Notamacropus eugenii: one gene and its partner. The protein of the gene in region 1 purifies or fractionates together with the protein of each later gene. This does not show direct contact. Links are inferred from orthologs where the notes say so. Each region holds a gene or a part of one and is shown in the gene's direction. Other genes may lie near its edges. The genes, in order: LARP1 and PABPC4.

Region 1 (16,460 bases):
ATTAATACCTTCTTTATGTGGTTTTGTTAAAATAATTTTTATTAATGTTTCATTTTTCTATCACCTAAATTTTCCCTGGAATTCCTCCTTTTCAATTTCCTAGACAGCAATCATTTATATTTTTTGTTAATTCAATAAAAAAAAAGTATGTATTAAATCCCAGATATTTTGCTAAGCCTAGAGATAAAAAGAGAAAAGCATGGTCTCCTCTTCAAGGATCTTCCATTGTAATAGAGGAGATAATATAAAACAACTATGTACATACAAGATATTAAAGAGTATAAATGGGAGGTAATCTCAGAGGGAATGTACTAGTAGCATGGAAGGGGATCAGGAAAGGCCTCTTACAGAAAGTGAGCCTTCCCAAAGCCAAGGAAACTAGAAGGAAGAAGTAAGGAGAGAGCATTGCAGGTATGGGGAGCAGAGAATGAAAAGATACAGTCAGGAGTGGAGGGTTTTGTGTAAGAAGGCCAGGGTTGCTAGATTATAGCGTATACACAGGAAAGAAGAGTGTAAGAAGACTGGAAAGGGAGGAAAGGGACAGGTTGTAAACAAACATTTTATCTTTGTGCTAGAGGAAGAAGGGAATCATTGGAGTTTACTGAGTGTGTGGTTGTGTGTGGGTGTGTGACAAGGTTGGACCTCTACTTTAGAAAGATCAGTGGCAGCTGAGTAGAAAATGGACTGGAGTGGAGAGGGACTTGAAACAAGGAAACCAAACAGAAGGTTATTGCAGTTCATGCTCAAGGGGATGAGGGCTAGTATCAGGGTGGTGGCTGTGGGAGAGGAGAGAAATAGAAGAGATGTTGTAAAGGTAGAGACCACAAGATCAGGCAACAGATTAGATATGTGAGTGAGTGGGAGTGAAAAGTCAAGGATGATAGGAGGTTAGGAGCAACAGTGACTGGGAAGATAGGGTGGTGTTGTGCTCTGAAGAGGTGACTTTGGAAGAAGGGAGACTTAGAGGGGAAAGATAAGGAGTTTTGTTTTGGACACGTAAAATTTGAAATAATTCATCGCTGACTGATTGATTTCCTTACTCTGGGGTTCATGTTCTTCAACTCAGCCAACTGTAAAAAGTCCAAGTCTTTTGGCAGAAGGGATCAGTCCTTTAAAAACAGGATATGCAACAGAATGTCCAAACTGGAAGGGACTTTAGAACCTAAACTGTACAGTTAGAAATGACCTTAGTAGGTAGATCATTGAATAGGTAAAGCACTTGTTAGGTACAGAGAATGAGACAACAAAGAGGGGGGGATGATAAGACAGGTCCCAGCCCTCAAAGAACTTGTCTAGTCCTAGCTTCATCTACTAGTTTTTTCCTAGTGTGGCTAGTGAAGTTGAAGTGATTATTAAATTGATTATTTTAATTAATATAATTATAACTTGATTAATATAAATTATTAAATTGATTATTAAATTCATTTGTAACCAGCTAAGTGTAGCAACTTGGAGTCAGGTAGACTCATGTTCATGAGTTCAAATCTAGCCTCAGACACCTACTAGCTGTGTGACTCCGGGCAAGTCACTTCACCCTGTTTGTCTCAGTGGCTCACCCATAAAATGAGCTGGAGAAGGAAATGGCAAACCACCCCAGTATCTTTGCCCAGAAAACCCCAAATGGGGTCATGAAGAGTTGGATACAAGTGAAAAAATAACACAACAATTAATCTCATATAAGAAGTTTTGCAAAATTCCAAAGCTTTATTTAATTAGCACCTGGGGAACTTCATTATCTATAGGGTCTCCCTCTTCAGTGTGAACTCTGCAATGTAAGTCTTCGGTGATAATGGCAAAAACCTCTGCTGGGAAGACCTCACCTTGTTTTATGTTTCACTTGATATTAATAATCAGAGGGTCCCTGAACAAAGTTATTTCTATTTGAACATACAGTATCCATAAAAGCCAAATATTATTTTGGTGGTATTTGTGTTTGCTGACAAATTGCTAGATTCCTAAAGGTGTTCTAATTAGGCATCTGTCCTCATTCATACCATTGTAGACCATTAGAGCTATAAGGGATCCTGGAGATTATCCAGCCCAACCCCAGTGTCTTATTTGCTAACTAAATCTTGAGCTTCTGGTAGATAAGGCCTTCACTGTATTTTGGGTTAGTGCCTAGCTCACATAGTACTGCATATAAGTAGGCAGTTTGATAGATGAATCAATAAATCAGCCAATAACACAGTGTAAGAGAAAGAGCATTGGCCTAGGAACCAAGGGACCTAGGTTGCAATTTTGGTTTGGTGTGATCCTGACCAAATCACTTAACCTCTCTAAGATACAATTTAAACATCTAGTCACATGGTACTCACATCAGTCCTTCATTCAACAAAAATTTATGGAATGTCCACACAATAAGCACTCAGTAAGGATTTGTTGAACAAATCTAAGGTACTGTGACATATTTTGGGAGCTACAAAGTTGTATTAGAGATAATCCTTGTTTTTAGAAGTATTTAGAATCTAATTGAAGGAAATAGGCATACAGATACACATAACTGTGATACAAGGCATACATTTATTATGATACTAACAAATGCTATATCCTTTTACAAAGTGCTCTACATTTCAGAGGAAGAAAAGATAACTTACAGCTGGATCAGGGAAATCTTCACAGAGAATTTGGCATTTGATCTGGGATTCTTTGAATGATGGGTAAAATTTTATAGGTTTTATTATGCACAAATGGGAGACATTTATTCGGTACAGCTGGGCATCATTGTTTTGAGGATCCAATGAGACAACAGACATTAAAGCTGTTAGAAAGGTATAATGTGCTATGGAAACTGATTATTCATCTATAGATAATATGAAGTGGTAGGAATTACATGTTCAATTGTTTTTAGTCATGTTCAACTTTTTGTGGCTCCATTTGGGGTTTTCTTGGCAAAGACACTGGAGTGGTTTGCCATTTTCTTCTCTAGCTCATTTTACAGATGAGGAAACTGAAGCAACCAGGGTTAAGTGACTTGCCAAGGATCACACATAGTAAGTATCTGAGGCTGAATTTGAACTCAGGTCCTCTGAACTCCAGGCCTAGCCCTCTATCAACTGTGCTACCTAGCTGTCCTTGAATTAGTAGAAAAGCTATAGCTTAAAAGTCTACTATTGTTCTTGTTAGACTAAAAGTCTACTATTATAAGTACAGGAAACATGCCCAGGATTCCTGAATTTCCTCATTAGCAGAATAACAGGGCTGGTCTGTATGAGTTCTAAGGCTGTAACCAACTCTCCCATTTCATGTTCTAAGGTCTCTTTCATCCTCATCCCAGACATTGTATGTTCTAATGCATCTCTTCTCACTTGGAGAACAAAATGTTGCTATGACAAGCTAATGAGGATGCTACGTATATGGAGCACACACAGATTCTTTGTACTCCTGCAGACCAGGGCCTGCACATACACATGCAGTTGTTCCACCAATTCACTTTTCAGGAAACCTGTCTGTCCTTTGGCCCCAGGCTAGCACCAAGGAAAGGCAAAATTGAATCTGTTTTTGCCTTTCTTTTTATCTTGCTATGTGACCTTGAACTAACTTATCACTTTACATCCCTCTTGTCCCTAAGTACTCTCATCTGCAAAATAGAGCATCTCCCTTCTTTTGAAGAGCACAGAGAATAACCAGTAATTAGGACTAAAAATCTCTAGGTCAACAATTCCATGCAATTTGCCAGGGGTTTGTGGCTTTGAGAGATAGCATTTCAGTTTAATTCAATTCAAAATGCATTTATTGAGCACCTCTAAGACAAGCTGACTACCCTCAAAAGGAGATTATAATCTAATAGTTAACACAGTTAAGTATAGTATAGTACAAATTAGAATATAATTGTTTAAGAGGAGTATTTGCTTTGAGATCATAAAGTTTTAGTATTGGACACTAGGACACAAAACATACATGACAGAACACCAGAGCTAGAAGGGATCTTAGAACATTAAAAAAAAAACAACTAACAATCAAAAAACCAAAACCCAGAACATTATAGGAGGAAGAGATCTTTGATATTTATTATCAAGCCAACTCATTCGATTTACAAATTAATAAACTGAGGTCCAGGAAGTTAAATTAATTGCCCATAGTAAAATTAATAAGTGGCAGATCCTGAACTCAAACTCATGTCTACCAACTCTAACTCTTTCTGCTACACAAAAAGGTCTCTAATACCTTCTTGCCTCTTTGAGGTCACCCTTTCTGGTGGTGTTATTCAGTCATATCCAACTCTTCTTGACCCTTTTCTGAGCAAAGAGACTGGAGTGGTTTGTCATTTCTTTCTCTGGCTCATTTTACAGATGAGGAAACTGAGGTAAACAGGATGAAGTGACTTGCCCAGGGTCATCCAGCTACTAAGTGTCCAAGGCCAGATTTGAACTCAGGAAGATGAGTCTTCCTAACTCCAGGCCCAGTCCTCTATCCACTTCCGACACCTAGTTGCTTGTTTCTGGGGCTCCTAAAACATCTTACAGATCTAGTAGCACATGAGATCTGTAAAGCAGACATACATACATCTTTATATCTATCTATCCATATACATACACATATCTAACTTATCTGATACAGCAGAAATGGTACCAGACATGGATTCATGAGATTTGCAATCGCTAATCTGACCTTTGTGTCATTCTAGTTTTATGACCTTATTCAAATCACTTCTCTGAGCTTGTTTCTTCATCTGTAAAATGGGGGTGGCAATACTCACATTACACACCCTGGATGATTGTATAGAACAAAGGAGATAACATACTCATTTCCACGGTGTTGTGGAAATGTAGGCTTTTATTATTAATCAAATCAAAGCTGTGCAGTGCCTTATACATAAAGATGACAAGACAAATGTTTTTGAGTGATTCTGAGCAAATAATTTAGGTCCTTCTTATTACAGAATGGAGTATCGAAAAGGATAGAGTGCTGGGCCTGAAGTCAGGAAGACTCATCTTTGAGTTCAAATCTGACCTAAAACTAGTAGTGTAACCCTGGGTAAGTCACTTAACCCTATTTTCCTGAAGAGAAGGAAATAGCAAACTATGCTAGTAGCTTTGCCAAGAAAATCCCAAATGGGGCCTCAAAGAATAGGGCATGACTGAAATGATTCAACAACAGCAAATATATTAATTAGACAAAATTCTAGGTTTCTCTTACAAACTGAACACCATTAATTTCACATCAAGATCCCTGGATTTGGAGTGAAAACATCTGGATTTAAATGCCAGCTTTGCTACTTACTAGCTGTGTGAGCGATACACACACAAACATATGTAAGTATAATGTATATAACGTATAATGTATAGCATATATAAATATGATACAAAAACATATATGTTCATTAGGGTTCATAAATGTTCACTAATGCTGTTCTAGACTAGAGGAGTCAGTAAAGGCCTTCAGAAAGGAACCAGTGTTTGGTTTTAAGTATCTCAAAAGAGTAGGAAGAAATGCAGCTGGTGAAAAAGGTGCTAGAATGGACTTCCAGGCATATGGAACTTCAGTAAGAAAACTTAGGCTGTTTGGGAAGGACTAAGAATAGTCCGTCTTGGCTGGAGCAAAGCATAAGGTAAATGTCCTGAAAAATTCGGAGGGCCCACAATGTAGAACAATAATACCTCGTATTGATATATTACTTTAAGGTTTGCAAAGCATTTTACAAATCATTTCTCGTTTGCTTCTCCCAATAACCTTGGGAGGTCGGTGTCATTATTAGTTCCAATTTGCAGATGAGAAAACTAAAGCAAAGACAAATGACATGTCCAGAGTCACACAACCAATAAGTGTCTGAGGTCTAATTTGAACTAGGGCCTTCCTGTCCCCAGGCCTCTGCTCTATCCATTTACATCACCAAATACTTCAAATAAGGTTCTTCATGCCAGCAAAGGTATATGAATTGTACTCAGAAGGCAATAGAGGCCACTGGACATTTTATACTGTTGATAGAATAATTTTGCTTTGGGTAGGTGCAGCTGAATCACTATTGACCAAAATTGTTCCAGCGGCCCTTGACTGCTTTCTGAGTAAAGGCCATGTCCCTTTGCCTAGCATTCAAGGCTCTCAGCAATCTGGAACCACACCATCTTTAAGTGACACCATGACTTCTTTCTGTACTGTTATAGTCAGATCCCAGGACTTAGCAACCTTGTATTTTTCCACTTTCTTGCCCATGCCTAGCTTATCCTTCCTCCTTTCCACTGGTGAATTTCTAGCCATCCTTCAAAGCACAACTCAATTACTCTGCATGAAGCCTTCCTTGATCCCAGTAACTATTTTTCCCAGATCTCAAAAGGGCACTGCTTTGCCCCTTTCTTTTGTATTTATCTCATTGCTATCTGTGCTTTTATCTCTCGACTTCCTATTCAACAGCCAATTGCACAGGGGGCTAGACACAGTGTGTCTTAATTACTCTCGGCACCCTCCGTGCCTAGCTCAGTGTTCTGCAAGTAAGTAGATGGTACAATTATTCAGGCTTCCATATGCCAAGGCAGCTTCCTAGCTGCGCAGTCCATGTTGTAAGGTCTCTTCCTGTACTGATTTTCTGCGGCATGCTCTGCTTTTTAAAGGGCATGTCCCCTTTCCCCAAAGATGTGGATTTCCTCTAGCCGGCTGAACTGACGATCAAGAACAATTCTGTAGAGAACGAGAACCTGGTCATTCCCTTGGCTTAGATGATCAGAAGCAGAGAGCATCGCGCTGGCCCACGTGGGTTAGCATTCAAATCTCCCTTCCAAAGGGCACAGGAAGGGCCCTCCCTCCCCGGGGCCCGTTCCCCTGCCCCCGCAGGGTAAGGTCCGTGGCACCAGCAGCCAAGAGGCTGACCTCCGTTGGCTTCCCAAGCGCTTTAACGGAATTCCTCTTCCCTTGGGTCCGTGCTAGCGCAGAAAGCTGCGCGGAGGTTAAGGCACGTGGGGGCAAAGTGGCTCTCCAAGGTCACCAGGCTGGGCAGGGAAGGCCAGGAGCTCTGGGTTTGGGAACGGGGGGAACCCTGCCAGGCCCAAGCAAATTAAGCCAGCAGAGCTCCTGTGAGCCCGGGTGGCGTTCATCAGCACTCTTCCTTCGCAGTTCCATCTTCCACCAACGGCTCTACGGTCCCCCGCCTAAAAAACGAAAGCAAGCCGGCACTGCCGCCGCATGGCCCCAGCTCCATGTGCTCCACCTGCGGCCTTGCTTCCCCAGGCGGGCCCTTTAAGAGAGCCCCGCCCCGCCCCGGCTTCCCCCGCACCCCCTCCCTCCTGCGCTCCCCCTCTCCTTCCACCTTTCCGAATTGCATCAGGCACGTGCTCGCCCCCGTCCCGTCGGAGCCCTCCCCTTCTCCCCACACCCCCACTAGGGAACAGGAGCAGAAAGACTTGGGGGGAGGGAAGGGAGAGAAGGGGGTGGGGACGGAGTCGGGAGTGAGGGGAAGCGAAGCCGTGCGCGCGCGCTCCTCGCCCCCGGTCCCAGGGGCCGGGCCACGGCGCGCGCGCCCCCGCCACCCCGTCCCCGTCCCCGACCGCATCCCCTCCCCTCCCGTCCCAGAGACGCCGCGTTGCGAAGCGCGCCCCCGCCGATCGCGTGGTCTGCTCCTCTCCGCTCCGCTCTCCCCTTCCATATTGCTGCAGCCCAGAGCGGGGAGCCCGGGCTGCCCCCGGGGGGGAAGAGGAGAGGGAGAGGAGTGGGAGAGGCAGCGACTAGAGCCCCCAGGCCTTGAGGGGTGGGGGTGGTGGGGGGAACCTACGACCCCGGGCGAGGAGGCAAGAGAGGGGTTCCCCCCCCCCGCCCCGGCACCGCCGCCGCCGCTCAGGGCCTGGGCTTCTCGGCTGCTCCCTCCGACGGGGAGGGAGGGAGGGGGCCGCGCCCGGCTGTTCGGCTCGAGTCCCCCCTCCCCCAGCACTCCCTTCCTGCTCCGGTCCCCAGGGACTGTGAGGGGGGCAGCCCCTTGAGACAGCCTTCCCAGAGGGGAGAGCGGCCAGGCCGAGCAGCTTCAGGAAAGTTTGAGGCGGCGGCGGGCGAGAGGGGTGGGGGCGAGGCTGCCGCGGCGCCGGCGGGGGCTTCGGTTCGGGGGGGCGGGCGCTCCCATGGCCACCGAGGTGGAGTCGCTCCCGCCCGGCAACCCCCTCCTTCAGGCCGAGGAGCACGGCGGGCTGGTGATGAAGCAGCCGCCGCCGCCGCCGCAGCAGACGCCGCAGCCCGAGGGGAAGGGAGAGCCTCTGGACTGCGGCGACGAAGGCTCCCGGCCCCCTCGGCCGCTCGGCTCGGCCAAGCCTCCCCGGGACGACGGCCCCCCAGCCGAGAGGGAGAGCCTGCAGCTGCCGCCGCCGCCGCCGCCGCCCCGGGGCGAGAGTGACGGCGGCAGCGGCAGCGAGGAGGGCGGCGAGCCGGGCCGCCGGGAGTTCGTCGAGGCCCCCCCGCCCAAGGTGAATCCGTGGACGAAAAACGCGGGCCCGACGGCCTTGGTCACCGTGAACGGACAGTCCCCGCCAGGTGGGTGCCTGCTTCCTCTCTTTCTCGGGTCGTGCTTCCTCGCCGCGCGCGGCCGCAGCGTGGGGGGGGGGGGGGGCGGAGCGGGGACTCCATCATGATTCTCTCTTCCCGGAGGGTCTTGGCAGCCGCCAGCCTCCGGGGTCCTCCCGGGGAGATGGCGCAGGCCCCGGGCGTCTCCCCGGGCTTTGTAGTGGTCCAGGGCCGGACGAGGGCAGGACGGAGCGGCCTTGCCGGGGCCGCAGCAGCTGGCGCGGCGGCGGCGAGGAGCAGGCCTCGAGCCCCGAGGAAAACTACTTTTCTGGTGCCTATGGCCCTTTTCCTCTTCTCGTTCGCCGTCGCCCCACTGAACACTGCCGGCCTGCGGGGGGAGGGAGAAAGAAGAGATTCTCCTGAACCCCGCACCCCAGTTGTCGAGCGTTGCAGCATTGATTGTATTGTAAGCGTGCCCTGGGCAGAACGAGCCGAGTTTAGAGCTACAAATATGGATTCTGGATTTCAAAGTTGTAGAGTGTTTGGTCTCTGGGTTGGTGGATAAGACGACCCCCGACCCGTGCCCTCCTTGGGGGGGATGGGGGGGATTGGAAAAAGCCAACTCTACGTGTCATTGAGGTTATGGTGAGGCACGTGTGTGTGTGTGTGTGTGTGTGTGTGTGTGTGTGTGTGTGTGTGTGATTACTTCAGAGGCTCAGATACGTAATTTTTATAGGCTCTTCTTGGGGCTGGGTCGTGACATACAGAAATATCCTGCCGGGGAGCCGGACTGGAGGGGCGTGGAAATGTGGAGGGGTGGGGTGTGCGTTGGGGGGAGGTGGCGGAGGGCAGTGAAAGTGGGGGCCCTGCCGGGCGGTGCCGGGGTGAGTGACAGGTCGGCGACCGCGGGGCGGCCACGCGGGGCTCGGAGGGATTCGAGGCCCAGTTGCAGGGTTCGATTTTAGAAGGCCGGGCCGGGCGAGGGTGGGGGTGTGTGTGTGTGTGTGTGTGTCTCTCTGTCTCTGTGTGTCTCTGTCTGTCTCAGTGAGCTTCCTCCCCTTCCCAGCATTCCACTGCAGTAAAGACAACGTGGTTTCTCTGCTCTCGCTGCCTGTCTGCCTGCCTGTCGAAAGCTGCATGTGATCGGGGCCAACATCCCCTTGGCTCAGCCCGTCGCTTGTGCCCTCCCCTCATCTCCCCCAGCCTTTGGGGTGGGGTCTCCTCTCCCCACTAGACCGCAGTTAGGAACCGAATTCCGTGAGCTGGGCTGCTGTGTCCCAAGAGGGAAGGAAAAGGGAGGACTGGGCCTGTGCTGGACCAGAAGCTCATGGCCTCGATTTTCACCTTCACCCTCTCCCCCGGGGTGCCTGAGCCGTCCCATTTCGTTTTGGGTTTTTTCCCCCTGGCTCACAACCTATTTAAACAGAGCAGGGTCACTCAGTATTGTATTCTGCTTGGTTCAGAAATGGTGACTGGAAGGGCAGGGACTTACCTCCCACCCCCTTAGTCTTCCTGGCTCTCTCCCATCTAGGATGGTGATAATTCTCCCCTGTTCATAAATCTAGAACAGAAAGTTGAGGGGAAGACCTTAGGGCCTCAGGGAAGTCAAATGGTAGGAGGTAAAAAGCATGCCCTCCTTCAGCTGGCATGAGGCCTTGGCCTGGAGGAAACTGAAAAGCCAGCCCTTAGATCAGAATGTTGCAATGACATTTCTCTTAAGGTTGCTTCATTGGAGGAGGGTTCATTTGGGATTTACTAACAATACCTCAAACTGTGTTTAACCCCCTCCCTTTACAGAGTTTGCTCTTATGCAAAAGGTATTTGGAAACCTCCATTTTCTTTAAGATCATCTCTACCCAGGGGATGAGAGAGAGGGACCTTAAGAGGTTTGGACACATTAAGGTGAAAAGAGATCTAAATGGACTCTCAGAAAGATCACTGAAGGAAAGGGGAATGGTTGGTAGCCATGTGCATCAGACTCCAGGTTGTTTAATGGTGAGGCTGCTTTCTGGATTTTAGATCCCAGTGTGCAACGTCAGATGGCCTACAGGTGCATGTGCTGGCATTTTGTGAAAGCTGATGCCCTCTGAAATGGTGCGTCATCACCATTGTTGACATGGGAAATGTTCGGCCTGGCTCTGGCTTTTCCCCTAACAAGGGGGAAAATAGACATTCCTTTCAAACCAAATCTTGGTCAGATGGGTTTCTGAGCTGTTACCTCTGTCATTGGAATCCCAGTTGTAGTACTGTAGCACTAGTGGAAGCAGTGACACTACTGCAAAATCCTGTCTTTACGCAGAGACAGTTCACTCAGCTTAAAACTAAAACCTTGTTTGGATGCAAAATACCTCCTGGAACCTGGGATTGAGTGGTTTTGAAAATTCTATATTTTGTAGGAGAAAGAAAATGTGATTTGGGTTGGTAGGTAGTATATACCCTTTTTTTTTTTTTTGCATACATGATGTGGTAGACATAGAATAAGAAGATCTGAGTTCAAGCCCTGGCTTTCTTGCCTGTGATAGCTGCGGTACTAGAATTAAATAAAACCCTCTAATCTGAGTTTTATCTGTAAATGTGGAGAATAATATTTGTCTTTCTTGGGGCATGGAGTAGTTGTGAAGAAGGTACTTTGTAAACTGCACTCATGTTGCTCTCAGAATATACTGCCTTGTCTCTCTTTGGTCACATAGGTAATAAGCAGCATATTTTAAGGAAAAAGATGGAGTTCTGGGGTTCTAATTCTGCTGTGTTTCTGACCCACTGTGTCCTTGGGCAAGTCACTGGATGTCTCTGGGCTTGTTTTCCTGAGTTTTTATTAGGATTGGATTTGATTGATTTCTGAGGTGTCCTTCAGACCTAACGCTGATAGAATTTAAATGCAGTTTCATAGATTATTGGGTAAGTTACTGCATTAATACCATTTTCATGTTCTGGCTTTTTGGAAGCTGCAGAACAGAATGCAGACTTGAAGCTGCAAACTTTCCAAAGCTTGCTGTAGAAGCCTGTTTTTATTCACTGGTTTGGCTCTGGTAGTATTTTTGAGGGTACATGCACCCTAAGGAGTAATGAAACATGCTTTAAGGTCAAATACCTGTCTGCAGTTTACTTTCCCATGTAACTGTATCCAGGTTCATTTAAATGTGTAAACTCACCATTATTCACTTTAACTTCTAAAGAGTTGTATTTCTACATCATTTCCTTTACATGAAAAGAAGGAAACCTAGGTTTGAACTTCTGATCCATCACTAACTGCCTTATGACCTTGGGCCAGTCACTTCTCTTCTGGAATCTTTCCTCATGTGTGAAATCAAAGTATACTATCTAAATAAACCTTAAAAATCCTAACACTTAGTTCTGTGAATATTCATTGAAATAGGAAGTGAATTTAGAAGATTGTACCCTAGAAAATAAAATCTGGTCTTGGTTTAACCATCCAAACAGAGGATATGGTTCAGATAACCCAAAGAATTAACTTATTTGGCCTTTGAATCTGTAAAAATAAAGCAATTGACAGTAAATTATTTCTAACATCCTCAATTCTTAGATTTTCTGTTCCAAGTTTTCTTTAGTTCTGACATCTTAAGTACCTTTCCAGTTCTAATGCTTTATTAATATGTGTTCTTAAAGTTGATTTAATTATCTTATACTTAGTAGCCTAGTATCAAAATTAGATTTTGTTCCCTCTCCACGTGCCAAGTTGTGGAGATTCAGAGGGTACTTTGGCGGAATAGAAGAAAGCCAGGCTGAAATTGAGACCTTTCCATGCATATGTTACAGTGACTCCCTATATAGTTAATTTTTGAGAATCCACAGGTGCATCTAGAGACCTTACCTCCGTTCCTCATAATAATTTACAATGTGTATGGTAACACATTGCTTTCCTAAGATGGAGTGTTGTAGCGAAATTGCCTAGTACTATTCCTTTTTTGTAGTTTTCTGTGGTTTACATACTATATCCTAAATGGAACATGAATCTAGATTGGATTACAGCCTCAGCTAAAACTTTTACCCCCTAGTCTAACAAACTCCTCCCCCCTCAAAAAAAAATCTGGACAGCTCCTCTTTTCCCATTTCCCAGAGGTAGGAAATATGATTTTAAACATAACCTCCAATTGTGGTTTAGAAGGCATCAGCTGAACTCATCTCTACTATTGGATTTGGTGCTAAGTTTATGGTAGTCCTTACTCCAAGGATCCATTTAATACCTGGAAACGTTTTGTATGTTTTAGGTGGGTTTTGGTGACTTGACAACATTGCGATATTTGTGTGTGTGTGTGTGTGTGTGTATGTATGTAAATGTGTATATTTGGTATGAACAGGGAGCTGGAACTCCTAATGAGGAATCTTTTGCCAAATGCTGTATTCTGAGCTGTCTTTTCCTCTTTTTACCTTGTCTTCTTCCCCATCCCCAATAAAGCAAAAAGCAGTTGGACTGTAAGATGGCTCAGAAGGCTTCAACCTCATGACAATCTCTCTCTAAGCTCATTTCACATCACCTTGCTAAGGTGGTACAGAATTGGAGAATATTAGAATTATGAGTTTGAAGATCTGAGTTCTAGTTTTGACTCTACTGTAACTCATTGATGTGACCCTGGACAAGTCATTTATCAGCTCTTTGACACTGCCTACCTCTTCAAGTCAAGCTGGACTATTCAAAATCCCCAGAAGACACCTGGTGTTTTCCTGCCTCCCAACCTTACCATTCTTTACCAAGCTCACATGCCCCTTCTTCCATGAAGCTTTCTCTAGTGAATCACAGGATTGTAAATTGCTAACTAGAAACATTTATGGTAAGCTTTACCGAGGTCATCTGGTCTAGTCCTCTCATTTTACACATAATGGGAACTGAGGCCTGGATGTTTTAAGTGACTTGACCTGTGTAAGGTAATGTTACAGAGCTAGGATTTAAAGTCAAGTCTTCTGAATTCAAACATAGTTTTTTCTATACTGCACTGACTAAATCAGAAGAACAATGTGTATGAATCCCACGGTAATATAAGGGGAGACAAGATTGAAAGACTTCAGAATTATGATCAGTGTAGAAAGCAGTCATAAGTTCAGGGGACTGATGGTGAGGCAGGCTTCCTGCCTTTTGGTAGAGAGGTGGTAGACTTCAGGAATGAAATGAAGTATACATTTTTTAGGCATGTCCATTGTTCTTGTTTTGGTTTATATTTAATTTGTTGCAAGGGAAGCATTAGGAAATGATAGATGTAAAAAAAAAAAAAAAGGAAAAGCAAAAATGAAACCTTTAAAAAGGAGGTATAAAACCTTCCCTCATCCCTCCCTTGCCTGCCCCAGGTAGCAGTTTGTGTACCTCTCCTAATTTTGTTTTGGATTCTTATTTAATATATTTATCTAATCTTTGAATCTCCCCCCAACATTAGAGTACCTTCTCTGCACAGAGTAGGTACTTAATAAAATGTTTAAATTGAAGTGGTTGGGCTCATCTCATAATATCTCTTTAATAATTCTAAAAATTGGTAATTTGCTACTTTCTAATCTGTGAAGAGATTGTGTAGTTAAACTTAGTTTGAAATTGGGTATTAGGAAAATAATTTCTATGTGTGAACTTAGTCCAGTTGAAGGAAATCTTTGGCCAGTGTTAACATGTGTGAATTTTGACCAGTCAGTGAATCTGCATACCAACGGGTTCTTTGTTGTATTGGGGTTGGGAGAAGCACTGATTAGGATTACCAGCATTTCATTTGTGATGGTGAACTGTAGTCACTGGAGTTTTTTCTTCTTTATTCCTACCCCTGATAGATCACATTTGTGATATTTTAGGTAGGAGTAAACATTTTACTGTTGCTGTCCTTTAATATCATATCAGTGAATCTGAGCCACAGTGTGTGTAATGAAAAATCGGATTAGAGTCTGGTTCTACTTCCCAACTCTGTCACCTATTGCTTCAGATACCTTGGACAAGTCGTGCTATTTTTGAGCTTTGGTGTCTTTTTAAGCTGTAACATGGAGTCAGACTCTGACCTGCTAAAGTCTCTGCCAGTTTGGAGAATGTGATTTTGTGCTCTTTAAAAAGCCAAGTAAGTAATTCTGGGGGTTATCTACTATATAAAGAATTTAATTTTTTTTAAACCTCAAAACCAGTGTTTGGGGAGGGGAGGGGCTCACACTTAACATTGTGGCAGATTTGAACAGACAAGCAGGGCACAGAGAACTTGGTTTGGTCCTTACAAGTTTGTGTCTAAACCAGGGGTGGGGAATCTGTAGCCTTGAGGCCACATGTGGCCTTCTAGGTCCTCAGGTGTGACCTTTTGACCTAGTTCAAGTTTTACAGAACACATCCTTTTATTGAGTCCCCCCCACCCCTGGGACTGTAAACATTTTGTTTTACAGATGAGGAAACTGAGACCTGGAGGAGAAAAATATTTGCTCACACTCATTAAGTGGTAGGTTTTCCACATACCTCTTTTCTTATTAGAACTCTGTCCCATTACCAAAGTCGTTCTTTGTTTTTAGCCCCTTGCAGAGCTGAGGGTGTCTTGTACTTAGATTTGTGCTAGGGATTCTTTTGAGATCAGCTTTGAAAAACCCAATTTTTAGTTCATTACCTAAGGCTCCAGTGTGAAAGTTTGGATCTGATCTCTCACAAGTTCTCACTTTCTGACCTGGGTGCTGAGGTTATGCCAGAGAGCAAATTTTAGTCTTCGCTTCCTCCCTGGTTTTTCATCCCATGTTCTCCACTATGAAATTTGAAGAGCTCAAGAGACATAGACTTTTGCTATTTGTGCCAGATCTGCACTACCTGTCTGTGAGCCAGGAGAGTGATCTCTGATCATTTTGGAGACAGGAAAGCTTAAGAGATCTCAAAAGTCTTTTCTATAAAGAGCCACCCACCATGTATGTCCTAGGGTCCATAATGCATAAAGTTCAAGTTAGCAGGACTGAAAACAACTGTTCTCTTTGAGAAGTGTTTCATGTGGATAGAGCACTTGCCATGGGATCAAGAAATCAGGGTTCAAATAGTGTTTCTGATACTAGCTGTGTATCCATGGACAAGTAGCTTTTCCTCCCTTTGCCTCAGTTTCTTCCTCTGTAAAATAAGGACAATAATAGCTTTAGTGCCTACCTGAAAAGATTGTTGTTAGACTCAAATGAGGGACTATAGAGGAGTGCGTTTTTTTATTATAATTTTCAAAGATGGTGCATCCTGTATGCCTTGTGGTAGGAAGTTAAATGGAGATTCCCTCACTTTCCTGAGGCTCTGGGAAGTGACTTGGAAAGTACGGGAGAGTTAGGCAGGGATTCCCAAATCCAGGAGAGAAGGCTGGATCATGGTATTAGAAAGAAGAAAAAGTACAAATGTGCCTTTGGTACATGGTGCTGGTTTATCTGGTGCTAGGAGCCAGTTAGTATGATTAGGAAGGCAGCCTTCTCAAGTGCTTTAAAAAAAAAAGCAAAACTTGGTACCCTGCCAAAGAATATTCAGGTGTTGGCAATGGGATGAGGGTGGCGAGGGGAGTGTCTATGGTCCCACAGTAGCAACCTGCTGTAGGGGAACATGGGACTGGGCCTCAATGGGGAAAGGTGGGTTTCTGAAGCCCTAGCATTTGGGGGGTTGTGAGCATCCAGCAACAGATGTGGCCCCTGACAGAAAATGAGTTGTGTATATGGGAGAGAGGGTTGTTTTTATAAGGACCCTTCCTCACATCTCCATCCTTCAAGAATTAGGGCAATAGCAGCTTTCACGGAGGCTGTTTGGGGACCCTCTCTGCTATGCCTTTTCTCAGAGGTACTCCTGCTAACTTGTTGAGCCATTCACTAAGCTTCCAAGTCATTTTCAGAGTCTGACCTTTGATGAAAGGCTCCATAGGTTTCCCTCTGCTGCAAAGGTAAAACCTGCTGTGTACAGTCACACCCTGAAGCTGCCTTTCCTTTGACCTGGGGTCAGTTGACTCAGGCTTGGACCAGTGTTAACATTTTGACTCTGGCTAGTAGCTCTAGCTCCACGGAAGTCTTTGGTCTTACCTGTTCCAGAATGTCTAGTGGGGGTAGCCCATTCTCCACAACTGGTAAGGATCATG
Region 2 (15,683 bases), on another chromosome or scaffold:
GCCTTCTGGCATGCTGTCTATGACAACCCTGGGCAGTTGCTAAGAAGACCTAGGGTGTAGTCCAGGCTCTCCAGAAAGGAGCTGGGTGAATTTGGGCAGCTCTCCACATCCCTGAGGTCTCAATTTCCTCATCTACGAAGTAGCCTCAATAATCACCTCTAAAATATCTAAAGAAACAGAAAGACACTTCTAGTGTGTGGAGTCTATGCTCCAAGGAGGATTTATGGAATCAATCAATAAACAATCATTTTATTTAGCACCTATTATGTGCCAAGAATTGTACTGGGGATAAAAACAAACAAATAAAGAGCTTACATTCCTTCTACTAAAAGGAGACAGATCCACATGCAAGTCTAAGTAGAACAAACACAAGGTAATCGAAGGGGAGGGCACTAAAGAAGGTCTGAAGTTTGGAGGGTTCACGAAAGGCTTCATACAGAAACTTGAGCTGTGTCTTGAAGAAAGAGAATGATTCTATAAACGGAAGGCAAGGAGGAAGAGCATTCTAGGCAGGAGGGATGGTTATTGCAAAGGGATGGAGATGGGAGATGGAAGACATTGCAAAATGAAACAGGATAGTTTGACTGAACCATAATATGTGGGAAGGGGGATAACATATGAGGCTTGAGAGATAGGTTGGAGCCAGGTTGTGAAGGTCTTTAAAAACCAAATACATGTGTTGAAATCGTCATTTCCTCTTACAATATTTTATCCCACAGGCAATGGGAAGCTGCTGGTTTTTTGAGAAGGGGAGCTTAGTTATAGTCAGAATAACATTTTTGGCAGCTGGGTGGAGGATGGACTGGTGTGGGAAAAGACTCAAGGCAGGAAGAACAATTAGAAGATTGTTGCAATAATGTGGGTGAGAGGTGATGTTCCTAGTACATAACTTCTGCCAGGGCATTCCCTGACTACCCCCTGCCTGGAACATGTTCCCCCTTCCCCTCCACCTCCCAGCCTCCCTGGCTTCCTTCAAATCTCAGCTAAAGTCCTACCTTCTGCAAGAGGCTTTCTCAATCTCCTTTAATACTCATGCCTTTCCTCGGTGGATTATTTTCAGTTGATCCTGTCTATACATAGCTGTTGGGAGCTTTTCTAGAGATGGGGATATTTTTGGTTTTGGGGTTGTTTTTTTTTTGTTGCAAACCCATTGATCAGCACCGAGCCTGGCACAAATAAGATCTTATTAAATGTTTGTTGGCTGTCCAAATTAGTAGCAGTGTAAGTAGAGAAAAAAATATGAGCATTAGGAAGAGACTACACACTAGATACCCATGGCCAGACATGGGTCAGAATCACCCAGGAGAAGGTAGGGAGAATTTGTATACAGAGAGGTAGAAGGGATGCTGGCTAAGAGATAGGGGCCTTCAGCCTCTGCTTCCTGAGCCCAGCTCTTTCACCTGTGTCCATTCCCCTCACTCCCCCTCCCAGTTCTTTCTTTTGTCCTCTATACAAGAGGTTGCTGTGTTTTCTCCTTCGTTCTTGAAGAGGACGTTTTGACATAACTTGACATTGATTTAAGTGAGGGAGGGCTGTGCAACCAACCTCACTTCTTTCTCCTGTGCCTCCTGGATCCAGTGGCCTACTACTAGAAAACCCTCTTCGAAGGAGGAAGTGGTTTTGGAGCTGGGGTTGGAGACCAAACAGGTGCCTCATCCTTATCTGGTCCCCCCAATCCCATGCAAATAAATGGCATGATCTTTGTCGTGAGAAAAAAATACTTTATCCCTCAAAGGCAGAGAGAGAGCCAAGGGAAACTTCAGTTCTGGGCCATTTCCTTCCTTGGAAGTAGGTAAGGATGATTACTTTTTCCTTTCAATTACTTATGCAGTCCCACCTTTGTTGAGCCTATGATGACGTGTGCTCACAGCTGGGGCTTGGGGCAGGGAGGGGTGCAAAGTTTAGATAATTTAGTGTGGAGTCTAGTAGGACAATGCTACCTTGGGGTATTATGTAGCTCAGTGGTTAGAGCACTCACTTTGGAAGTCAGAAAGACCTGAGTTCAAATCTAGCTTCAGACACTCACTAGCCACAAACCTGGGCAAGTCACTTGACCAAGGCTAGGGTTGTTATAAGGATCAAAGGAGATATTTGTAAGGTGTTTCCTGAAAGTGCTATTTAAATACTATCTATTAACATATAACACAAAAACTTGTAAAACAAAATTCTTTTTTTAAGCACCTGCTATGTGTGGAATATGGTGCCAGGCTCTGGAGACAGGGGTACTAATGAAACAGTCCTTACCTTCAAAAAGTTTTTTGGGGGGGGAGGGAAAGACAGGGTTTTTTGCACTTCATTTTTCTTGCTTTTCCTTCCCCAACATGGCTACTATGGAAATACTTTGCATGATTTCCTGTGTATAATGAGAATGTGTTTCTTGCCTTCTCAATGGGTGGGGGGAGAGGGAGAGATTTTGGAACTGAAAATAAAAATTTTTTAAAATTAAGAATAAAAAAAAGAGAAAGTGATGAGGAAAAGCATGCCAGGAATGGGGTTGACAGCTGTGGAAGAATTAAGACTGATACCAGACACATGGTTTAGGTTCAGATCAGCCAAAAACAATTTTATTTAATTAAACTTCATCTATAATACTAATTTAATCTAAGACATTTCTAGCTTGGAAAGAGATGTTCTCCATGACCTCTGCTGTGACTCTGCCAAGAAGACTTCAGGTAGTATTTATAAGAATCTTAAACTAGGAAAATTTATCTCAAAACATAGTCTGGGTTAACATTCCAGAATTGAGCACCCAAGTCTCTATCCCATTCCTTACTGACCACTCCCCTCCTTTGCTCTGGGAGTTAAACAGAGACGTCGTCCCAATCATTTTTATCTTAATCCTTTGCCTCTGAAGAGAGCAGGTGGGCTGGTGCTAGTCCTCAGGTAAGGTCTTTAGATTTATCTATAATCAATTGCTTCTGGCTGGAAAGGGGAGGGGGAGTGAAGAGAAAAAGGCAGGATTGTAAAGGTCAGTTTATTTTCTAATAAAAAATTTTTGTTCGTTTATCTCACCCTAACACCACCCTTCTTTCTTTTTTTTTTAAGAGGCAGTTGGGGTTTAGTGACTTGCCTAGGGTCACACAGATAGTAAGAGTCTCAGGTCACATTTGAACTCAGGTCCTCCTGACTCGAGAGCTGTCCCACCTGTGCCCCCAACATTTTCCTTTCCAAAAGTCTGAAAAGGGCACTTGAAAGAAATTTCCAGATAAACTCAGAAGGCAGTTTTCACTATGCTTCCACACAGTTTTATGCAAAGGCATGGAGGTGGGAAATGAGATATTATGTGCAGGGAATAGAAAGAAGGTCAGTTTGCATTAAAGAGAATACACAAAGTACAGTAATTTGGAATCAATCTGGAAAGATATGTTGGGGCCAGATTACTATGGACTTGAGGTAAATGTCAGAGGAATTTTGCTTTACTCTAGAGGCAATAGGGAGCCACTGTTCCTTTCTGAGGTGGGTGATGTGATCAAACCTCTGCTTTAGGAATGTCACTTGGACAGCTGTGGAGAAATGGATTGATAGTTTCTTATCTGCTTACGGCATTTGGACGCTGGGTCTGTGAACCGACTGTAGTGCTGGAAATGAGTCAAGACAAAAGGCACCAAGTTACAGAATTTCTCTTTCTTCCCACATGGCTGTCGGGTGTAGTGGAGGAAGAACTTGTATACACCTCCAGGTGGGGAGAAAGGCCTCAGGCTCCCTCCCTCAATGCTTCTCCCACTCTCCACCCCCAACACCTGGAACCTTTTGTTTCTTTGGTTCGTGTTTGTTTTGTAGATGAGGAAGAACTGGGGACGTAACAAGAGTGACCAGGTCAAAACCTTCTGACCCCCTAACTGTAGTAGAGGCTCAGCGACTGGGCTTTATGGGGGAGATCCAGCATCTGGAGTCCATAGCGGGGTCTGCCAGGTCAGCAGTTGAGGCTGGAAAAGATCCAGCTCTGAGGAGTAACCGTGGCTAGACCAGCACCTGAGATGTCAAGTCCTTCCCGGAAGGGAGAGAATCAGCTCTCGGCTGCGTTTCACTGATGGTGGAGGAGTGTTTGTGGCAGTCAATTTACATTGGAGTCCACTCTCTTTCCAGACTGAGACTGCTCTAGTTGTGGGATACCTTTTTGTTATTGGGGTCTCACTTTTTGTTTCCAGTAAACATCTCTTTGTTAAAGTGAATTTTAACTGGTTATCAATAATATTGAGGAGAATTTAGAATGAATTAATATTTAAGTCAAGCCAAAAAGCATTTATTAAGAGCTTAATAAGTGCCAGGCTCCGGGCTATACTGGGGGCACAAAGACAAGGCAAAAATGAAGTCCCTGTACTCAAGCAGTTTACATTAAAATGTGAGCGGACCGCAGAAAAGTTTAGGGAAGGGGAGGGGAAGGCACTAGGGGGAGAACTTGTTAGTGAAATCCTCAGTCATGGATTAGCTGCTCTGGCTTTTCCTCCAAATGAAGTTTTAGAAAGGAGCTCTCCAATGGGAGAAGGGGGCAACGAGAAAAGAGGAAGAAGGACGGGGAAGTAAGGTGGCATCATCCAGGGAACACGGCCCTAATGATACTACTACCTATTAGCACAGGTTCTTAATAAATGTTAATTGATTCACTGATAGCATTTATATGGCTTTTAAGATTTACAAAGTGCTTTACAATATGACTTCATTTGATCTTTACAACAATCCTGGAAAGCTAGTATTTTGATTATCCCCTCTGAATGGTGAAGAAACTCAGGTACACAGGTTAAGTGACTTGTCTAGGGTCACATAGCTAGGTAAGTATCTTAAGACTGGACTTGAACTCACCTTCTTGACTCTGAGTCCCAGTATTTGATCTAATCACTGATTAGATAACATTGCAGAGAGAGCTGGCCAAGTGATGCTGGGTGGGTACATACTGGCAGGGAGACCAGTATCTCCAGTATTAGGAGAATCACCTCATTCAGCCCCTCAGTTACCTCTAGAACCTTGACAGGGCAAGATATAGGCACTCTAAGGATCAGTGCCAATGCCAAGTAAGGTTTGGAGAAGCAGCTTCTGAGCCTAAGCTACTTTTTAAAGTTTTTCTTTATTTTTAATTCTGAAATGAACCAAATAAAATTAACATTCCCACATACAAAACAGAGCAGAGTTGTTACCAGGGCCTCCTTAATCTGGCCCCCTTCCCTTCTCATTTCCAAAAGTGTCATAAGCTTTTATTAAACACCCTCTATGTGCAAGGCACTATGGGAGACCCTAGGGTTACAGGGAAAGTGATACAATTCCTTCCTTCAGGAAGCTGACATTCCACAAAGTGGGACATAATGGAAAAAGAAAGATCCAAACACAAACCTTTCGGAAGATGTGAAGGCCAGAACGGCTCTTTCAGCCAACGGGAGATTGGGAAAGATTTGCCAAAAGAGGCCATGTCTGGGCTGAACCTTGGAAAAACGAGGAGGGTTCTGGAAGACCAAGGGGAAAGCCTCTCTGGAGGAGTACCTTCCCACCATGGGAATAGCTCTCACAAATGCACAGAGGCGTGAGACAAACGCATCAAATTTGGGGAAGGGCTAGTGGTCCAGTATGGTCAGAATTCAGAGTAAATGAAGGCACCAGTGGGGAAATGAAGCCAGAAGCGTAGGTAGGAGCAAGGTCCTGGAGGGGACTGAATCACAGACCCAGCCCAAGGAGTCTTTTATCCTAGGCTTTACCTCCAGAGCCTCTCAGGATTTTGGTGCCACAGCTCAGGAACATTATTTTGGCTGCTACATGCCAAACTGAACTAGGGAGACCAGTTGAGGCCAGTATCATGGCCCAGTGGGAAGGCTGAGGGCTTGAGAGTGGAGAGATGGCCATAAGATGCAAGAGGCAAAGTGAAGACCAAACTCCACATGGCAACTGATCTTGAATGGGAAATGCAGGGGAAGGAAGGTGATTATTTGAGTAGATTAATGACATCTTAGTAGGACAATACTTTTGACCTTGAGAATGCTCTAGGAGGGAATCAGGCGACCCCCCATACTCTGAGAACGTTGGTATCATGGAAAGAGCCCTGTATCTGGAGTCTGGAGGTGCCACTCAGCGGGCTGTGTGGCTTTAAGCAAGTCCTTTCGTGCCGCTAGGTCTCAGGGTTGGACTTGGCTTTTCATCCACCTCGAAGTCTCAGCAATGACTCCCTAAGGCTGCCAAAGGCCTTTGTGCACCTTAAGAAGCCAAGTCCACACCTGGAGGACACTGTGTAGCCCCAGAGGACAGGCAGCACTTTGGCTGCTGAGACCTTCCCAGCCTCTGGCACATCCACCCACAAGGTATTCATTAAACACCCACTATGTACCAGATCCCGTGCCAGGCACGAGAAAGGAAACCATGCCCGTTGAGCCCCTGAGGCTGGCAGCTCAATGAGGGAGGAAAGCAGGAATGCCGTGTAAACATCTTCAGCATCCCCGCGCATGTGATTATATGTATCCACATGCATCAGTTACGTAATATATGCCTAGATATATACGAAATGGACTCATTCCGAACGCACAACCCCCTGAAGGCCGGCGGACCGATGACGTCACTGGGGTTCCCTGACTTGTCCGGGACCGCGTGGCTAGGCTGGACTTGAACTCAGGAATGATGCCTGTATGTACATGAGACATAATCACACAATCCAGCCTAAAAGTCTAACACACAGAGGAGTGCAGCTGCGTCTACATGCGGGCACACACGCACACTACACGCATATGCCACCGGCTAGGTCGGGAGGTGGCACGGGCAGGCCGGGGAGGGCCAGCTCTGCGGACTCGGGGCGCTCTGGACCTGACCGCTCGGGCCGGCGGCGGGGCCTGGTGCCACCCCCGAACTGTAGGCCGCGCCCCCCCCCCACCGCGGCCGCCCGGGTCTCTCCCGCCCCCCACCGCGGCCGCCCGGGTCTCCCGCCCCCCACCGCGGCCGCCCGGGTCTCTCCCGCCCCCCACCGCGGCCGCCCGGGTCTCTCCCGCCCCCCACCGCGGCCGCCCGGGTCTCCCGCCCCCCACCGCGGCCGCCCGGGTCTCTCCCGCCCCCCACCGCGGCCGCCCGGGTCTCTCCCGCCCCCCACCGCGGCCGCCCGGGTCTCTTCCCCCCCCACCGCGGCCGCCCGGGTCTCTCCCCCCCCACCGCGGCCGCCCGGGTCTCTCCCGCCCCCCACCGCGGCCGCCCGGGTCTCTTCCCCCCCCACCGCGGCCGCCCGGGTCTCTTCCCCCCCCACCGCGGCCGCCCGGGTCTCTTCCCCCCCCACCGCGGCCGCCCGGGTCTCTTCCCCCCCCACCGCGGCCGCCCGGGTCTCTCCCGCCCCCCACCGCGGCCGCCCGGGTCTCTCCCGCCCCCCACCGCGGCCGCCCGGGTCTCCCGCCCCCCACCGCGGCCGCCCGGGTCTCTTCCCCCCCCACCGCGGCCGCCCGGGTCTCCCGCCCCCCACCGCGGCCGCCCGGGTCTCTCCCGCCCCCCACCGCGGCCGCCCGGGTCTCTTCCCCCCCCACCGCGGCCGCCCGGGTCTCTCCCGCCCCCCACCGCGGCCGCCCGGGTCTCTCCCCCCCCACCGCGGCCGCCCGGGTCTCTTCCCCCCCCACCGCGGCCGCCCGGGTCTCTCCCGCCCCCCACCGCGGCCGCCCGGGTCTCTTCCCCCCCCACCGCGGCCGCCCGGGTCTCTCCCGCCCCCCACCGCGGCCGCCCGGGTCTCCCGGGTCTCCCGCCCCCCACCGCGGCCGCCCGGGTCTCTCCCCCCCCACCGCGGCCGCCCGGGTCTCTCCCCCCCCCACCGCGGCCGCCCGGCCCGGCGCCCCCCGCACGGCCCAAGGAGGCGCTTCCCGAAGCCATTTCATCTCGTCTCCCCGTCGTCCAGAGGGAGAGCCCGAGGCCCCCGGCGGCCTCCCCCTCATCTCCCGCTCGCTGCACACAGCGGCTGTGAGCCGCTGGACTTGGGGCAGTGCCTGACATACAGCAGGTAACTAACACACGTCTGCCGACCGCTGGAGGCTTGACCTTCTTGGGGCGCCGAGAGGAGAGGGGCTGGGGCACTGGAACCCGGGCCTCCGGGCGCAGTAAAGGGTGACCCGCCATCTCGGTCTCGGGCGCAGGCCCCTAATAAACGAACGTGGACAAGCGGTATACAGTAGGCGCTCAAAGTCAGCTGCACGAGGACTTAACAGATGAACGTGCAAGGTTTGGACGGCTCGGACGTCCAGAACGTCCAGGAGAGGGCCGTCCCAAGCAGGGGGCCGTAACCGTCGCCTGGCCAACGGTCTTTCAACGGCCCCGCCCCGCCCCCTCCACCGCGGCCGCGTGCGGCGGCGCAGAGCGAGGCGGGCGGCGAGGGTGGGGGCGGGGCAGGGGAGGCCGCGGCGCACGGGTCCTCCGGGGCTGGGGGGCGCTCTGGCCCGCCGCGCGCCTGTCTCGTCGCCTCGCCGGCTCTCGCCCGCTCTCGCGCGCTCTCAGGCTCGCTCTCCTCGGTCGCACGCGCCGCCGGGGCTGCGTTGCGCTGCGCCGCGCTGCGCCGCGCTGGGCTGGGCCGGGGCGGGCCGGACGGCGCCGCCCGGGGCGCGCCGTGCCCTTTGACCGGCGGCGCTCCCGGGGCGGGGGTATAAATGGGGCGCGGCGGCCTCGCGGCTGTCTCTCTCTCCGCTCCTGCCCCTAGGTTCGGCGCTTCGCGGCCTCCCACCCCCCCCCCCCTAAAAAAAAATACCTAAAAAAAAAGAATCCCTCCAAGTGAAAGCAGAAGAACGGACGCGGACGCGGACGCGCGCGGAGACCGCTGCCGCCGGATCGGGGGCTTGGTGTGAGAGCCCCGGCGCCGAGAGGAGACCTTTGCCCCGCTCCGCCCACCCGCCGCGTGTCCTGCCCCCGCGTGTGGCTTCCGTCCGTCCGCGCTCCGGTACCGCGTGTCCGGCCCCCGCCCCCGCGCGTCGCCGTCCTCTTCTGCCCGTCCGTGCCCGGCCCCCACGTGTGCGGCTCCCGCGTGTTCCTCCTCCGTTCCGCCCGGGCCCCCACGTGGCCGGCCCGGGCCCCCCGCTTTCCTCCCGGCCCCCACGTGTCCTTGAGCCTGTGCCGGCCCCCTCCCTCCGCGCCTTCCCCACGTCCGCGGGCCGCCGCGCTCTCCCACGTGGCTTCTCCCCCGCGTGCCGCCGCCGCGGCTGCTGCTCCCGGGCCGGCCTCCGCTCCGCTGCCGCGGGAAGCGTCCTCGGACCGCGGCGTGCCCCGAGCCGAGCCGGGCCGGCTGTCCTGGGAGGGAAGGGCCGCGCCTGGTGCCCGCCCGGAGCGCCGGGCCCCGTGACGGCGGCCGCCCGAGGCCCCGAGGCCCCGCCGCCCGGCCCTCGCCTGCCGCCCAGGTCCGGCCCCGGCCGCGATTTAAAAGTCTTGTCTCTTTCTCCTTGCCTGGGTTCCAGAAGGAGGTCCTCCTGGCGGGGCTCGGGGTGCTGGGGGGCGGGGAGATGAACACTGCGGCCAGCAGTTACCCCATGGCCTCCCTGTACGTGGGTGACCTGCACTCGGACGTCACCGAAGCCATGCTGTACGAGAAGTTCAGCCCGGCCGGACCCGTGCTCTCCATCCGGGTCTGCAGGGACATGATCACCAGGCGCTCCCTGGGCTATGCCTACGTCAACTTCCAGCAGCCGGCCGATGGTGAGTGTGGCGGGGGGACCCGCGGGGCGCCCGCCCGTGCGGCTTGTTGGGAGTCGCGTTCGTTTCAGGCCCTTGCAGGTCGGTAAGGTGAGGAAGGCTGTCGTGTTCCAGCCGAGCTGGGGAGGCTCAGAGGTTAGGGGACTGGGAGCCCAGGCTTTCCACTGTGCCAGGGGGCTTCCCCCAAAGCCGCCCGAACGATTGAACGCAGTTTAACTAACAGGTAGGTGACCGCAGTGCTGACTGGAGTCGGGAGACCTGAGCCCGGTTCTTCATGGCTAGGGTGATGTCTGTAGCGCGCACTGTTGGCATCCCGGCGGTGGAGCGCTCCGAGCGTTACTCACCGGGTCCTCCCTGTGTACTTGTGTTAAAAACCCTTGGTGGCACTGGTCAAGCGCTTCTTGTGCAGTCCCACTGCGTTCTAGAGGATTTACCCGGTTCTGAGACTCAGTGGGCCATGGAGTACAAGGGAGTGAGGTCTGGATTAGGAGTAGCCGGGTTTCTGACCCGTCCACCATGCTTGAACGAAACTGAACCATCCCACGCTGACCCTGGCACTCGAGCACTTGGAGAGCGCGAAGTAACCAGTGGTCTTGAACTGCCGATAATCAAAGAAGTAAGGAGAAGGTGCAGCCATTTTGCTGATTAAAATTTCCATCTGCATCTTGGGTTGCACACACACCCCTTCCCCCTTTCTGGGGCACATGTGTAACCAGTTGAACACAATTAGCTTCCGTCGTCTTGGACACAGGAACAGAAAAACTCTTATGCAGAGGGGGGAAGTAACCTGTTTGTTAACTGGTAGTTGTCCAAATTCTTCCACACTTTCTCTCACCCGGTGGGTAAAAGGGACAGTCCGCAGGTCAGCCTTTCTGAGAGAATGCCTCAAGGCTGGTGTTGTCTGTCCAGTGGGTGTCTGGAGGAATGGAGCATCATCTAGAAAAGCACGATGGTAGCAGCTCTGGGGGCAGTCCCAGCCCAGCCACTCACTAGCTTAACCTCCAGGTCTCAAGTTTCCTAAACTGTGGGAATATTATATCCTACCTTAGGGCATCAGATGAAAGAGGGTATATGAAAGCATTTTGTAGCCATAGAGAATTATCTATAAATGGATATCTTTGGACTAGGTGACCTAGTTCTTAACATTATAAAAGTTGTATTAGCAATAATACAAAACCAAAATTATTTGAGCAACTGTTTTAAAACTTGAGGTAAGGAAAGTCTAAAATTCCTATCAGTCCCTTTGGCAACAAGAAAGCGCACTCTCCCAAGTTCTCAGTTACTGATATCCCTAGTTAGCCAGTTGGGAGCCTGAGGCCCAGAGAATGTTAGTTATTCAAGGTCAGAGTAAGACAGTAGAAATAGAACCCAGGCTTTTGCCTTCTCATTTAGGGCTCTAATCAGTAGTGAGATGTAGTCTTTTTTTGAACACAGTGTGATTTTAAACCCTACCAGTACAAACACACAACATTGGGGAAAATAGTGCTAAGAGGCTAAACATGGCCTTTTTAGGGGAAATAATGCTCTCTTTGGTACATGTGTTAGCTGCAGACTGCCTGTCACCTTTGAACAAAAGTACTGTTCAGTTGCAGATAACATAAGCTATTGGTTTGCGTCTTTGCCAAGGCATACTTGGGCAGGTCCTCTCCCTGCTATAAATAAATACTGCCCACTTGGACTGAGTTGTCTTTAGAAGTGCCTTCTTGAAACTCTGTTTTACAAAGTTATTGATTTATATCATTGAAATGAAATCCCTTGGTGCCAATTACATTAGTTGCCCACATTATACTAGGGATTGTATTACTAAATACAAATATATAATAGAGCTTCAGGACTTTTTCTGCCCCTCCTGCACACATTTTTATTTTCATTTTTCTGTTTGTCCCTAACGCCACTCCAGCGTAAATGGAACCTGTAGGGATTTTGCAACCATTGGGTAGAGAATGTAATTTTTCTTAGCAGATGTCAGTAATTTTGGAGCAAAGGATAAATTTTATATAATTTGGACCTTGTTTTTATATTCAAAGCTGATGAATTGACAGATAGGACTTTTAAAGCAAAATAAACCTTTTCCTCCTTGCTTAATATGTGTTTGCAAATGAGTATGAGTCTGTTCTGAACTTAGTAGCATTTTTAGACCATGGCATTGGGATGAATGGTGAATTCAGCATTTTTAGGGCCACAGCACTAATTTGGAAGTGCACCCACTGATTATTCAGGGGTTTTGAGAACTGGAAATGTGCATGTCTGATTTTTTGGTGAAAGAAACTGAAACAATCAAAATAAGATAATTTGGTTTCTGATCACTTTAGTGTCTGTAATTGGAGACGTTCTTGGCTGGAAATTTTCAAACTATCTGAAATAAACTTGATACTCTGAAGACACACTGATTGAATGGGGACAGTGTGGATCTAACTTGAACTAGTACTGAAGAAAGAACTATGTTGTGGCTGTCAGATCAGAATCAAAATTGATTCTTTGCCCAGGAAAACCTTTATTAGCCAGAGTGCCTGGAGAATAAGGGGAGTCAGTCATTGTGTTAGTGATAGTTGAGGCTTGTGTTTGTTATACCTTCAGTAGTGCCCTTTACTAGTCTCCTGAAGACTGAGAAGTGACTTTGCCCAGTCTCTAGCTAGTCAGAGTTGTGCCTTTACCAAGCCTCTTCTCCCTGTGAAACCTAAAGCAACTTGGGGTATGTGTTTTCTAAAATGTATAGAGAACATAATGGAATTTTTCTTCAGACTTACCAGCTCAGATGTTCTCATTGTCCAGGACTAGATGTAGAAAATTGGGCATTTAGGCTAAGTACATATCTAGCCCAGCATCAGCCCCAGATTTTGTGTGTATTTGTCTTCACTCCCCACTTTTAAGTGGAGAAAATTCTAATTGGCTTTTGTTGCCCATTTTAGAGATACTTTAGGGAGAGTTCCCTAAACTCATTTGGTCCTATTGGGCCCTCCGATGTCATTGCTATTGGGATGAAACTCAGGCAGTGCAGATCAGTACCTCTGCAGCTTGTAAAGATTTTATCTGCCTAGGACTAGAGCAAGGAGGCCACCTGATCAAGGCCACACAAACCAGCTCTGGCATCAGTGGGAGGCTCCCCATCCTGCTGTATATCCCCTGGACTATACTGTCTCAATGTTCTGCATGCCTGGCATAGTCTTCAAAATTAGGAGTTGTACAGCCCTCAATTTTCCAATAAATAAAAATGAGGGGTATTGGGAGGTGGAAGGAACGTCAAGTGTCTGAGGATCCTCTAGAAAGTGGAGCAAGTCTGAGCTGTAAGATTTGTGAGGTGTTTTACGTACTATCTCACTGGATCCTTAGGAAGATTGATGAGCTAGGTCCAGTTCTATAGATGAGGAAACAAGTTGGAGGTAGTTGTGACTGGCTTGGGAATGAGCATGAGCCTGAAAAAGGCCTCAGGAATTTGAGGGGGTCCTGAAGCTTCTTTCATTATCTGTGACATGGAGATGGAAGGACCCTCAGGAGTACCTAGTCTGACTTCATTTATAAAAGGGAAAGCAGGGTTACCCAGGTCCTGTTACTGGAGAACCATCACTCTGAAGTTTTTTAGTCTTAATTTGTTGATGCTTTCCTAATCAGAAAAGCAGGCCATCCAATGAGATTTCTGAAATAACTTTAGGGTAAGATGGACAATAAGTTAGCAAGGACGTTATTGAATAGGAATGTTTTTGTGTCTTGGACCCTCTTGGCAGCCTGAAGCCTAGGGACCCCTTCTTCAAATTAATTAAGAACCTCTAACCCGGTAATAGTCATGGTGTTCCAAAACAGACTGGTCTAATGGCCATGTTTCCAACTAGTTAACCTTCCTTTTCACTTAGTCCTTTCTCGGATCTCCTCTCTTCCTTCCTAGCTGAACGTGCCCTGGATACCATGAACTTTGATGTAATTAAAGGCAAACCCATCCGTATCATGTGGTCTCAGCGGGATCCGTCATTGAGGAAATCAGGAGTTGGGAATGTTTTCATTAAAAACCTGGATAAATCCATAGACAACAAGGCACTTTATGACACCTTTTCAGCATTTGGAAACATCTTGTCCTGCAAGGTAAGTAGTGGTTATTCCCAAGGCAAAGTTGAACTTAACTTTAATTTTTATTTAAAAAAAAAAAAAGTAGGGATGGTAGGGCAGTGTAATGAAATTTAAAAGTTTCTCAAAAGGCTAGAGAAACCTGACTCTTAATTTCCCAAGTCTGTCTTTGAAGAGACACTGTCTAGATGAAAAAGAACTCTGCACCTGGGAGTCAGAAGACCTGGTCTGCCGTCTTTAGGCAGACTGAGGGTAGTGGTAATGACTTTGACAGTTAGATGGATCTAAGGAGAGAAGGATTAAATACTGGATGTATACAATGGTAATTCTTTATGGTAACCCTGACAGTCTAAGGCAAGGAGAGGTCCCCAGACTGCCTGGGATACAAGAAGGATAAAGCATTGGCCACAGCCAGTAGAGCCCTTTGCATGGACTTGGATCCTGCAGGCCTTGAGCTCAGCTCAGAGAAAATTACTCTTTTCTCCAGGCCTCCTCTCCCAGCTTGGGCCTTCTCCCTAACTTCTGTTCACTTTTGGTCCTTCAGTTTTACTGTTTTTATATAAAACTTAACAAATGCCCAATAAAGGAGCATTTCCATTTCTCTGAATTCTCAAAGGATCATGGCATCAGAGTCCTTCAGTTCTTCTCCATCCCCATATCAGCTCACCCACAGATACAAATCCCCCTGTAGACTGGCTTTCTGGCTTCTCCCTTCTAGTCATTGTTTCACACACCTTCTCAGATAATCTAATATAGCCCTGGGATAGTCCACTCTTAACACTGAGTCCTTCCCAGGCTCCTGATTGACTTCTAAATAAAATTCACGCTCTCCACAGACAGTTAATAGCACTTACAAGGTAGCTCTTGTCTACATGTTTAACCTCGTCTTAATGCAGTCAGTTACCAACATCTTGACTTTTGTACAGCCCTCCCTGAGGCTGCATTGCTGCCTCTTCCTTACGCTCACATTATCACCTTCTCTATCCCTGCATCCTCAGACTGTAAACTCTTAAAGGGTCACAGGTATCTTTGTGTTAAGGACTTCCGTGTTAGTTGAATTAAGGCAGTAACTGATTTGGTACCTGTATTTTTTAGGTGGTGTGTGATGAGAATGGTTCTAAAGGCTACGCATTTGTGCACTTTGAGACCCAGGATGCCGCAGATAGGGCCATCGAGAAGATGAACGGCATGCTTCTCAACGACCGAAAAGTGTGAGTGTCTCAGCCAGAAGCAACAACCATCGCATGAACCGTGGTGCATCTCAGTATTAACAGGGACACACAAGGCTACTGTTGCTCTCGGCCCAAGCCGTGGCCTCCTACCTCTCCACTACAGGGCTGGTGAGTCTCCCTGCCCAAGGCGGGCTCCTTGCCCAAGCCTTAGCCTGCTACCTCTCCCTTACAGGGATCAGTGGGCCTCTCCTCTCCTGAAAACGAGAGGATGGCTAGATGAGGGCCCTGAGCTCACTCTGAATTGGGTTTATGTTGATGTCTTGAACCATTTTGGTCACTTTTAAATACACACAAATGTGTATTTAAAACAGATTCTTGTTTTTAATGAAAATAATGCCTCTTTCTGTAAGTTCAGGCTGTTTACACATTATGGCTCTTGGCCTTTTTATCGTAAGAAGAGTTCTGGCCTAGTTGCAATGAATCTTTTTTAACTGAAACCTCACAAATCAAGTGTGTTCACCAGTCCCTGTATTGTAGGAGTTGGTCTTGTAAGCAAAGACCTCACTTTGGAGTGGTCATTTTAGGGTGGAGATGTTCTGTTAAAAGCAAAGGGATGAGGAGGAAGGGGCAGGCACTTCACTAATGTTTATATCAAATGCAAAGAAAAGGTCCAAGCTGGGACTGTAATGAATAAGAACATCCATGTCATCTCGCACACACCTGGTGGGGTAGAAGGGTGGGAAACACAAATGAACTGAGAACTGGCATATATATCTGTCTGAGGAGCAACGTATATATCTGTCTGAGGAGCAACGCACCCTCCTCCCCCAAATGGTTGTT

Evidence for each region.
Region 2: the proteins of LARP1 (region 1) and PABPC4 purify together in Homo sapiens (affinity purification with mass spectrometry; 3 studies listed by BioGRID and IntAct, with this or other methods). This does not show direct contact. The link is inferred for Notamacropus eugenii from reciprocal best matches to the Homo sapiens genes LARP1 and PABPC4.

What each region holds. Positions count from the first base shown.
Region 1 is NC_092872.1:383,104,212-383,120,671, forward strand, and holds the start of LARP1 (la-related protein 1), read left to right. Parts: upstream 1-7,992; 5' UTR 7,993-8,039; coding exon 8,040-8,445; intron 8,446-16,460. UniProt on the Homo sapiens protein: RNA-binding protein that regulates the translation of specific target mRNA species downstream of the mTORC1 complex, in function of growth signals and nutrient availability.
Region 2 is NC_092876.1:79,542,395-79,558,077, forward strand, and holds the start of PABPC4 (polyadenylate-binding protein 4), read left to right. Parts: upstream 1-9,281; 5' UTR 9,282-9,425; coding exon 9,426-9,618; intron 9,619-13,495; coding exon 13,496-13,689; intron 13,690-14,766; coding exon 14,767-14,882; intron 14,883-15,683.